2 linked regions of the Rattus norvegicus genome follow. The protein of the gene in region 1 purifies or fractionates together with the protein of each later gene. This does not show direct contact. Links are inferred from orthologs where the notes say so. Each region holds a gene or a part of one and is shown on either strand. Other genes may lie near its edges. The genes, in order: Edc4 and Edc3.

Region 1 (3,808 bases):
ACGAAAGGTAGGCTGCTGTGGTGGTACATTGGAAAGAGCTGGTGTTGCTGGGAAGGGCAGGGCTATGTGATGTAGTCACAGCCCTTACAGCCTCAGTTGAGTTAGCAGTGTGTTACTCATGCAGGTCCTCTATGTGATGGAGCTGCTGCAGAACCAGGACGAGGGCCGTGCTTGCTTCAGTTCCATCTCTGAGTTCCTGCTCACCCACCCTGTGCTGAGCTTTGGCATCCAGGTTGTGAGTCGCTGCCGGCTGCGGCACACTGAGGTGCTGCCTGCTGAGGAGGAGAGTGACAGTCTGGGGACTGGTGAGGTGCCCTGGGGTAAGGGCTATATGTTGGTATGTGGGAAGTGTCCATGCACAGAGCAGGCCAATGCCTTAATGATCCACACTGTCCTTTCAGAGAGTTCCCATGGAGCTGGTACCTTGGAATCTGCAGCTGGTGTGCTTATCAAGCTCTTTTGTGTGCACACTAAGTGAGTGTGTCAGGGAGGCCTGCCATGTCCTGCCTATGTCCCCCTACCCTACTGGCCCTGGCCTTTTGAGTATTCTCTTCTCCCCTTTGTTCTTTAGGGCACTCCAAGATGTGCAGATCCGCTTCCAGCCACAGCTGAACCCTGATGTGGTGGCCCCACTCTCTACCCACACTGCTCATGAGGACTTCAGTGAGTAAGGGAACAGAAGGGAGACTGGTTCCACTGATGTGGCCTTGAGATCTGACTTAGCAGCTTTTCCAACAGCATTTGGAGAGTCTCGACCTGAACTAGGCTCTGAGGGGCTAGCTTCAGCTCCTCATGGTTCCCAGCCTGACCTCCGACGCATTGTGGAGCTGCCTGCACCTGCAGACTTCCTCAGTCTGAGCAGTGAGACCAAGCCTAAGTTGATGACACCTGATGCTTTCATGACACCTACCGCCTCCCTGCAGCAGGTACTTACTTCCTTCGTGGAGAGAGGTCTGGTAATGTCCCATTAGCTAACCTTAGCACTCATTTTCTGGCTCTTCCCAGATCTCTGCATCCCCTAGTAGTAGCAGCAGCAGTAGCAGCAGCAGCAGTAGCAGCAGCAGCAGTAGCAGCAGCAGCTCTCTAACAGCTGTGTCTGCTGTGAGCAGCTCCTCAGCCATGGACCCCTCCTTGCCCAGGTAAAATAAAAATCAGAATTGGGTCTTGTGCCCAACTGTGACGAATTACAGTTGCTAATGCCGTGCCTTTCTGCCAGTAGGCCACCCGAGGAACTGACCTTGAGCCCCAAACTGCAGCTAGATGGCAGCCTGACTATAAGCAGCAGCAGCAGCCTGCAGGCAAGCCCTCGGAGCCTTCTTCCGGGCCTGCTCCCAGGCCCAGCTGACAAACTAATTCCCAAGGGACCTGGTCAGGTAGGTGGGGGTTGGGGGATAAGGGGAGAATATGAATGCGTATAAAGTACTAGGTAGCAAGTGGTAGAGGGCAATGGAAAAGATTGGAGCACTCTATTCCTATATATTTTTCTTCTGACCCTCCTTGGCCTTGGAAGTGTTACATTTCCTCAAAGGTTAGAGCAGGCTTTCATGTTCCCAAGAGGGCATCTCGTCAGCCTCCAATCCCCACCTCTTGTGAACTGTGGCCCTGCTTTCCACTTGCATCTCCCTTTTCTGTTAGATGATGTCTAACCACTACAGATGCCAGTGCCTTATTTTTGTGCCCCTGAGCCCTTAGCACTTAAGCCTCTATCTTTGGCTCTTCTCAGGTATCTTCTGGTACTTCTGCACTATCCTTGGATTTGCAGGAAGTGGAACCATTAGGGCTACCCCAGGCCTCCCCAAGTCGCACACGTTCTCCTGATGTGATCTCCTCAGCATCCACTGCCCTGTCCCAGGACATCCCTGAAATTGCATCTGAGGCCCTGTCCCGTGGCTTTGGCTCCTCTGTACCTGAGGGCCTCATTGAGCCAGACAGCATGGCCTCAGCTGCCTCAGCACTACACCTACTGTCTCCTCGGCCCAGGCAAGGCCCTGAGCTTAGTTCTCAGCTTGGTCTAGATGGAGGCCCTGGGGATGGGGATAGGCATAGTACCCCTTCCCTACTGGAAGCAGCCTTGACCCAGGAAGTTGCAACCTCTGACAGTCAAGTCTGGCCTACAGCACCTGACATTACTCGTGAGACCTGTAGCACACTAACAGAAAGGTAAGAAGATTAGAAGGGGGAAATATGCCTGGGCGGGCGGGCAGGGCGTCTATATTAGGACTGTCCACTACTGAGTCCATGTGTTTCCTTAGCCCCAGGAATGGCCTCCAGGAAAAGCACAAAAGCCTGGCCTTCCACAGGCCACCTTATCACCTGCTGCAGCAACATGACAGTCAGGACACAAGTGCTGAGCAAAGGTGAGCACAATCTTGTTCCTTGCTTCTCCTCTAAGGAAGGAGAGCAGTGAATAAGGGAAAAGCAAGTGAGCAGACACTCAGCCTTCCTCCCCTTCCTTCCACAGTGACCATGACGATGAGGTTGCCAGCCTTGCCTCTGCTTCAGGAGGTTTTGGCAGCAAAATTCCTACTCCACGGCTGCCTGCCAAGGATTGGAAAACCAAGGGATCCCCTAGGACTTCACCTAAGCTCAAGAGGAAAAGCAAGAAGGATGATGGGTAGGAGAATTCTTGGACCGGGGCCAGGGGTGGTGGTCTGAGCTGCCTGTTGTGACCTGCAATGCTGTTTTGCCTATGTAGGGATTCAGCTGTGGGATCTCGGCTCACCGAGCACCAGGTATGTAAGGGAGCACCTTTCTACCCATGGGGCCCCATCCCACAAGGGTGGGAGGGACTTTGAGCTACTTTTTTTGGTGGGTGGAGATGTGTAAGGTGTCAGTGCTTCTGGCAGGTGGTAGAGCCCCCTGAAGACTGGCCAGCACTAATTTGGCAGCAGCAAAGAGAGCTGGCAGAACTATGGCACAACCAAGAAGAGCTGCTACAGCGTCTTTGTGCCCAACTTGAAGGTCTTCAGAGCACTGTCACAGACCATGTAGAACGTGCCCTGGAGACACGGCATGAGCAAGAGCGTATCCTTGGGGTAGTGGCACAGCATGGCAGTAAGGTGCAGTAGCATTCTTGCCTAGGAAAGGCATAGGTCCTGTTGTAGGCCTGTTCCTTAGCTCCACCACAGAACGGCGACTGGAGCGGGCACTGGCTGAGGGGCAGCAACGGGGTGGGCAGCTACAGGAGCAGCTGACACAGCAGCTATCCCAGGCTTTGTCTTCAGCTGTGGCTGGGCGGCTAGAGCGCAGCATAAGGGATGAAATCAAGAAAACAGTTCCTCCATGTGAGTTTTCCATGAGGTTTCTTTCCACTGGGCCAGGTGGGTGTAGGGCACTTTCAAACTGATGGTTCCATCCGCCTGTCTCTCCTAGGTGTCTCCAGAAGTCTGGAGCCTGTGGCAGGCCAACTAAGCAACTCAGTGGCTACCAAGCTTACAGCTGTGGAAGGCAGCATGAAAGAGAATATCTCTAAGCTACTCAAGTCCAAGGTGATGTAGGGTCCAGGATGGGGGAAGTGTGGCTAGACAAGCCAGATTGAACTCGGGCTTTCAACTTGACCCCTTCCTATATTTTAGAACTTAACAGATGCCATTGCCCGCGCAGCTGCAGATACGCTACAGGGACCAATGCAGGCTGCCTACCGAGAAGCCTTCCAGAGTGTGGTGCTGCCGGCTTTTGAGAAGAGTTGTCAGGCTATGTTCCAGCAAATCAATGACAGCTTCAGGCTGGGCACTCAGGAATGTGAGTGTTGTCCACCATAAGCCCAGCAGAGGAGGAGGAGCCGTACTCTGCTCTGACCCCTTCTCTG
Region 2 (3,808 bases), on another chromosome or scaffold:
AGAAGCCTGCAGATGGAACAGATGCCCGATGGACCAACCCAGAGTGCTGGTTCTGGGCCAGGACAGCAAGCAAAGCCATGGGCAAGCAGGACCTCCACTAAGCACACAAGCCCTTCACTTTTCAAACTCCGAGCTCCCTTTTCTTTGAGCTCCAGATTAAAGCTTCACCTCACTCTTATGAGTCATGATAACTCTTCTTTTCTCAACTCCTATTGTCCCTGATTATTTGCCACTCATCCAAGGAACGCAGTGCTGTGGATGATGCTTCGTTACTTCCTGTGGAGTTACGTGAGCAAATGCATCGACCGAGATTCCCCACACACAGAAATCCTCAACTGAGATTCCTAGACATCAGGGCAGAACCTGCCTTGGAGCAGTCTTCCTGCTAGTCAAAGCTGCCATGTCTTTGTTTTATGACAGCCAATGCTAAGGAGGCTGAGATCAGCCCTAGAGGGGGCCACAAGGTAGAGATGAGATGAACCGTAAGATGTAGGGTGGGCCAGTGCCAATCACCACCCACAGAGGAAGATTTACAGGTATTGTCGAGACTAAAAGGAGTTTCAGGACTTTCATTCCCAAACATACTTGGGAGAACTTAGTACAATCCTCTAAACAGATGCCAAGCTACTCTCTACCCCATTATCTCTGCTTCTAGAGCAGTGGTTCTCAACCTGTATGTCACACCCTCTTGGGCCGAACAACCCTCTGCAGGATTCATTTAACAGATTACATTATGATTCATAACTAAATCAGTTATGAAGTAGCATCGAAAATAATTTTATGGTTGGGGGTCACCACAACATGAGGAACTGTATTAAAGGGTCGCAGCATTAGGAAGGCTGAAAACCACTGTTCTAGAGGAAATAAGACTTCCTTTACATACATGCTACAGAGTCCTGGCATCTGACTCAAGGGTCTACTCCCCAAGACCCTTCCTAACCCCATAAGCTCTCACCAGCATGAAAGCCGACTGGGGTCTTAGCACCCACAGCACCTCTGCAGGGTGAAGCTCTGGCACCATTATACCAGCAGTGTTACCTGGATGCTCCTTCAAGCTCCAAGCCACAGTTTGTTCCTCTTAAGTCATGGGTCTGTAACATTTCCCTTCAATGTGAAGCTCTGAGGAGCACATAAAATTCGGCTGTGAAAACGGCACTTGACACACACATTTGACAGACAGAAAACAATGTGTCTGACTTCCAAAGACTAGTAACTGCTACAAGGACAGAGATGCAACTGGAAAGCTCAGATTAAGAAAAACAGGCAAGGCTTGGTGGTGGCACACCTTTAAGACTAGCACTTCGGAGGCAGAGACAGGTGGCTCTCTGTGAGCTCAGGGCCAGTTGGGTCTACAGAGTGAGGCAAGTTCCAATGATGAGAGTTTGATTCCATGGCAGGCTGCAAATTGGTCGTTCAGGACATTAGGCCTAAACACCCAGGCTTTAGGCAGCTAGTTAGAAACTGCACTGCCATCAGAAATGTCCCACCACCTGGCCTGAAACGAGGACAATGGGTCAGCAGTTTCTAGCCAGACCCCATGTCCCAGTAATGAAATATCCTAGAGATGGAGTAAGATAAAGGTCACTGACTCTGCAATCCCCTAATGTGCTTTAAATCTGGCCTGTGAGGTCACTTAGTTGTCTATCTTGGTAATGGAGCGACCCCAACATGCTAGATTTCTGCAGAATAAAACACTCTGTTTGCATACTATTTAAGTCCAGAGTATCATTCTTGGGCAAATCATGGACCCTTACACCAAGACAGCCAGGACTATACAGAGAAACCCTGTCTCAAAAAAACCAAACAGACAAAAACCAAATTTTTTTTTCAAAACCAACCAAACACAGAAAAATCCTAAATGGATTAGGCACAGTGGTAAACACCTGTAGCCAAGTGCCTGCAAGCCTTGGCGCCTGAGGCAGGAGATTTGAGATAGCCAGGGCTACAGAGTAAACCTGTCCTTAAAAAGGAAGGAAGGAAAGAAGGAAGGAAGGAAGGAAGGAAGGAAGGAAGGAAGGAAGGAAGGAAGGAAGGAAGGAAGGAAGGAAGAAAAAAAGTAGTCCACTAGTCAGAAGAAGTCAGTGAGAGAAGAATACACTGGTGTGGACATGCATACCCTCTGCCCCGCACCAGTTTCTAGAAAGTCACTTAAAGGCTTCAAAAATCCTTCTGCCCAGTGAATTCATTCCAAGACAATCCAGGTGGCTACTCCAAGAGTAGGTGTGCAGCAAGCTATCCCTCCTTGGGGAGCCCACTTCCCTTTCTGCACATGAGTGTCAGGCATAGGAAAGAACAGGTCCAAGAAAAGCACACAACGGAACAAATACTCATAACTCTACAAAGCAAGCAGTTGAGACCAGAATGAAATCTATCCTTCCTGGACCAAACTTGCTTTCGTAAGACTGCTCTAGAACCAGGAGACACTGTCCCGCCAAGTGCAGTCAGGGGATTTCTAGACAATTTTCTCTGCTTCCTTCATCATGACAATTCACCTTACTTCCTGCATGAGGACTTCCCCAGGCATGAGCAGTGTACTGTGTTGTCTCCAGTGTGCCCAAGGTCAAAGAGAAGGTCTAGAACACATACTCTGGGAAGACCAAGCTCTGCTGCTAACAGTGGCCTTTAGGCAGGCAGAAACCACCTCCTCCACTAGGTGTCAGGGTGCCTCTAAATGCCCTGAGCGATGGCGTTCGGGACTGATACGCTTTCTAGTGAAAAGCCAGTGTCAAAGGCCAGATCCCTGCAGGACTTCCCAAAATCAGACCTGACAATCAGCATGGATCTCAAAAGACCAGACCGCTGCTATCAGGAAAGAAGGCAGTATGGACTTCCAGGAGACAGGGAAGAGGGCAAAGAAGGTTGGCAGCATAAGAGGCTCACAGGGGACATCAGTGACTGCCTGGCAGCAGCTCCTATGTGCATGTGAGGTATGTGGGCTGACCATGCAGGGCACTGCCACCCCACATTTAGCACTGCCAGTCTAGAGCCACTCACCTGTTGGGTCCTCCAAGGAGAGTCAGGGCCATCTGACTGGCACACACACCAGTCATCTCAAGTCTCCGCTCTAGGGTCAGCCCATGCTTCTCGGCCACAGACAACAGTTTTTTATGTAGCTCATAGGAAACACTTGGGACTACCAGGCCAGAGTCTATGGTAAAAGAGAGGCAAGAAACAAGGAAAATTTATTATAAGAAATCAGGTCTAAAAATGTGGCCATTCTACACAGAATCTGCAAAAGTCAACTGGTTTGTTTTTGTTTTGTTTTTGTTTTGAGACAGGACCTCTCAGGTAGCCCAGGCATAAACTTTTTATGTAGCCATAGATGGTCTTGAACTCTAAACCTCGTTTCCACCTTCTAACTGCTGGGATTACAAACAAACACACACATGCCCAGTTTATTCAGTATTGAGAACTGAACCTAGAACTTTGTGTATGCTCAGCAAAAACTATCAAATGAGCTTTATTCTAGGTCAAATGCCAACTTCTTAAGAATAAGCCTTTCTAGGGAGTTAGAGCACGACTCTAATTTCAGCATTCTAAAGGCAGAGACAGTCCGATCTCTTTTGAGTTTGAGGCAAGCCTAGTTTGCATAGTGAGTCCAGAACATTCATGGCTGTGTAGAGACCAAGCCTCCTGTTCCAGCCTCCTCCCTGAGGCTAAAGCATGCTTTCGAATGCATGGCAACCTATAATACCTGTTTTAGATCAGCAGTTCTCAACCTGTGGGTCACGACCCAGGGCATGGAGGGTAGAAGGGAGTGTGGTCGTGGGGTAAAATGTACAGAGGTGGCCTAAGTCCGTCAGAAAAC

Evidence for each region.
Region 2: the proteins of Edc4 (region 1) and Edc3 purify together in Homo sapiens (affinity purification with mass spectrometry; 6 studies listed by BioGRID and IntAct, with this or other methods). This does not show direct contact. The link is inferred for Rattus norvegicus from reciprocal best matches to the Homo sapiens genes EDC4 and EDC3.

What each region holds. Positions count from the first base shown.
Region 1 is NC_086037.1:50,690,260-50,694,067, forward strand, and holds part of Edc4 (enhancer of mRNA-decapping protein 4), read left to right. Parts: coding exon 1-7; intron 8-124; coding exon 125-305; intron 306-401; coding exon 402-474; intron 475-571; coding exon 572-663; intron 664-738; coding exon 739-926; intron 927-1,005; coding exon 1,006-1,139; intron 1,140-1,216; coding exon 1,217-1,373; intron 1,374-1,723; coding exon 1,724-2,160; intron 2,161-2,252; coding exon 2,253-2,357; intron 2,358-2,461; coding exon 2,462-2,614; intron 2,615-2,695; coding exon 2,696-2,732; intron 2,733-2,846; coding exon 2,847-3,024; intron 3,025-3,128; coding exon 3,129-3,284; intron 3,285-3,372; coding exon 3,373-3,488; intron 3,489-3,575; coding exon 3,576-3,741; intron 3,742-3,808. UniProt on the Homo sapiens protein: In the process of mRNA degradation, seems to play a role in mRNA decapping. Component of a complex containing DCP2 and DCP1A which functions in decapping of ARE-containing mRNAs. Promotes complex formation between DCP1A and DCP2.
Region 2 is NC_086026.1:67,036,276-67,040,083, reverse strand, and holds part of Edc3 (enhancer of mRNA-decapping protein 3), read right to left. Parts: intron 3,149-3,808; coding exon 2,995-3,148; intron 1-2,994. UniProt on the Homo sapiens protein: Binds single-stranded RNA. Involved in the process of mRNA degradation and in the positive regulation of mRNA decapping. May play a role in spermiogenesis and oogenesis.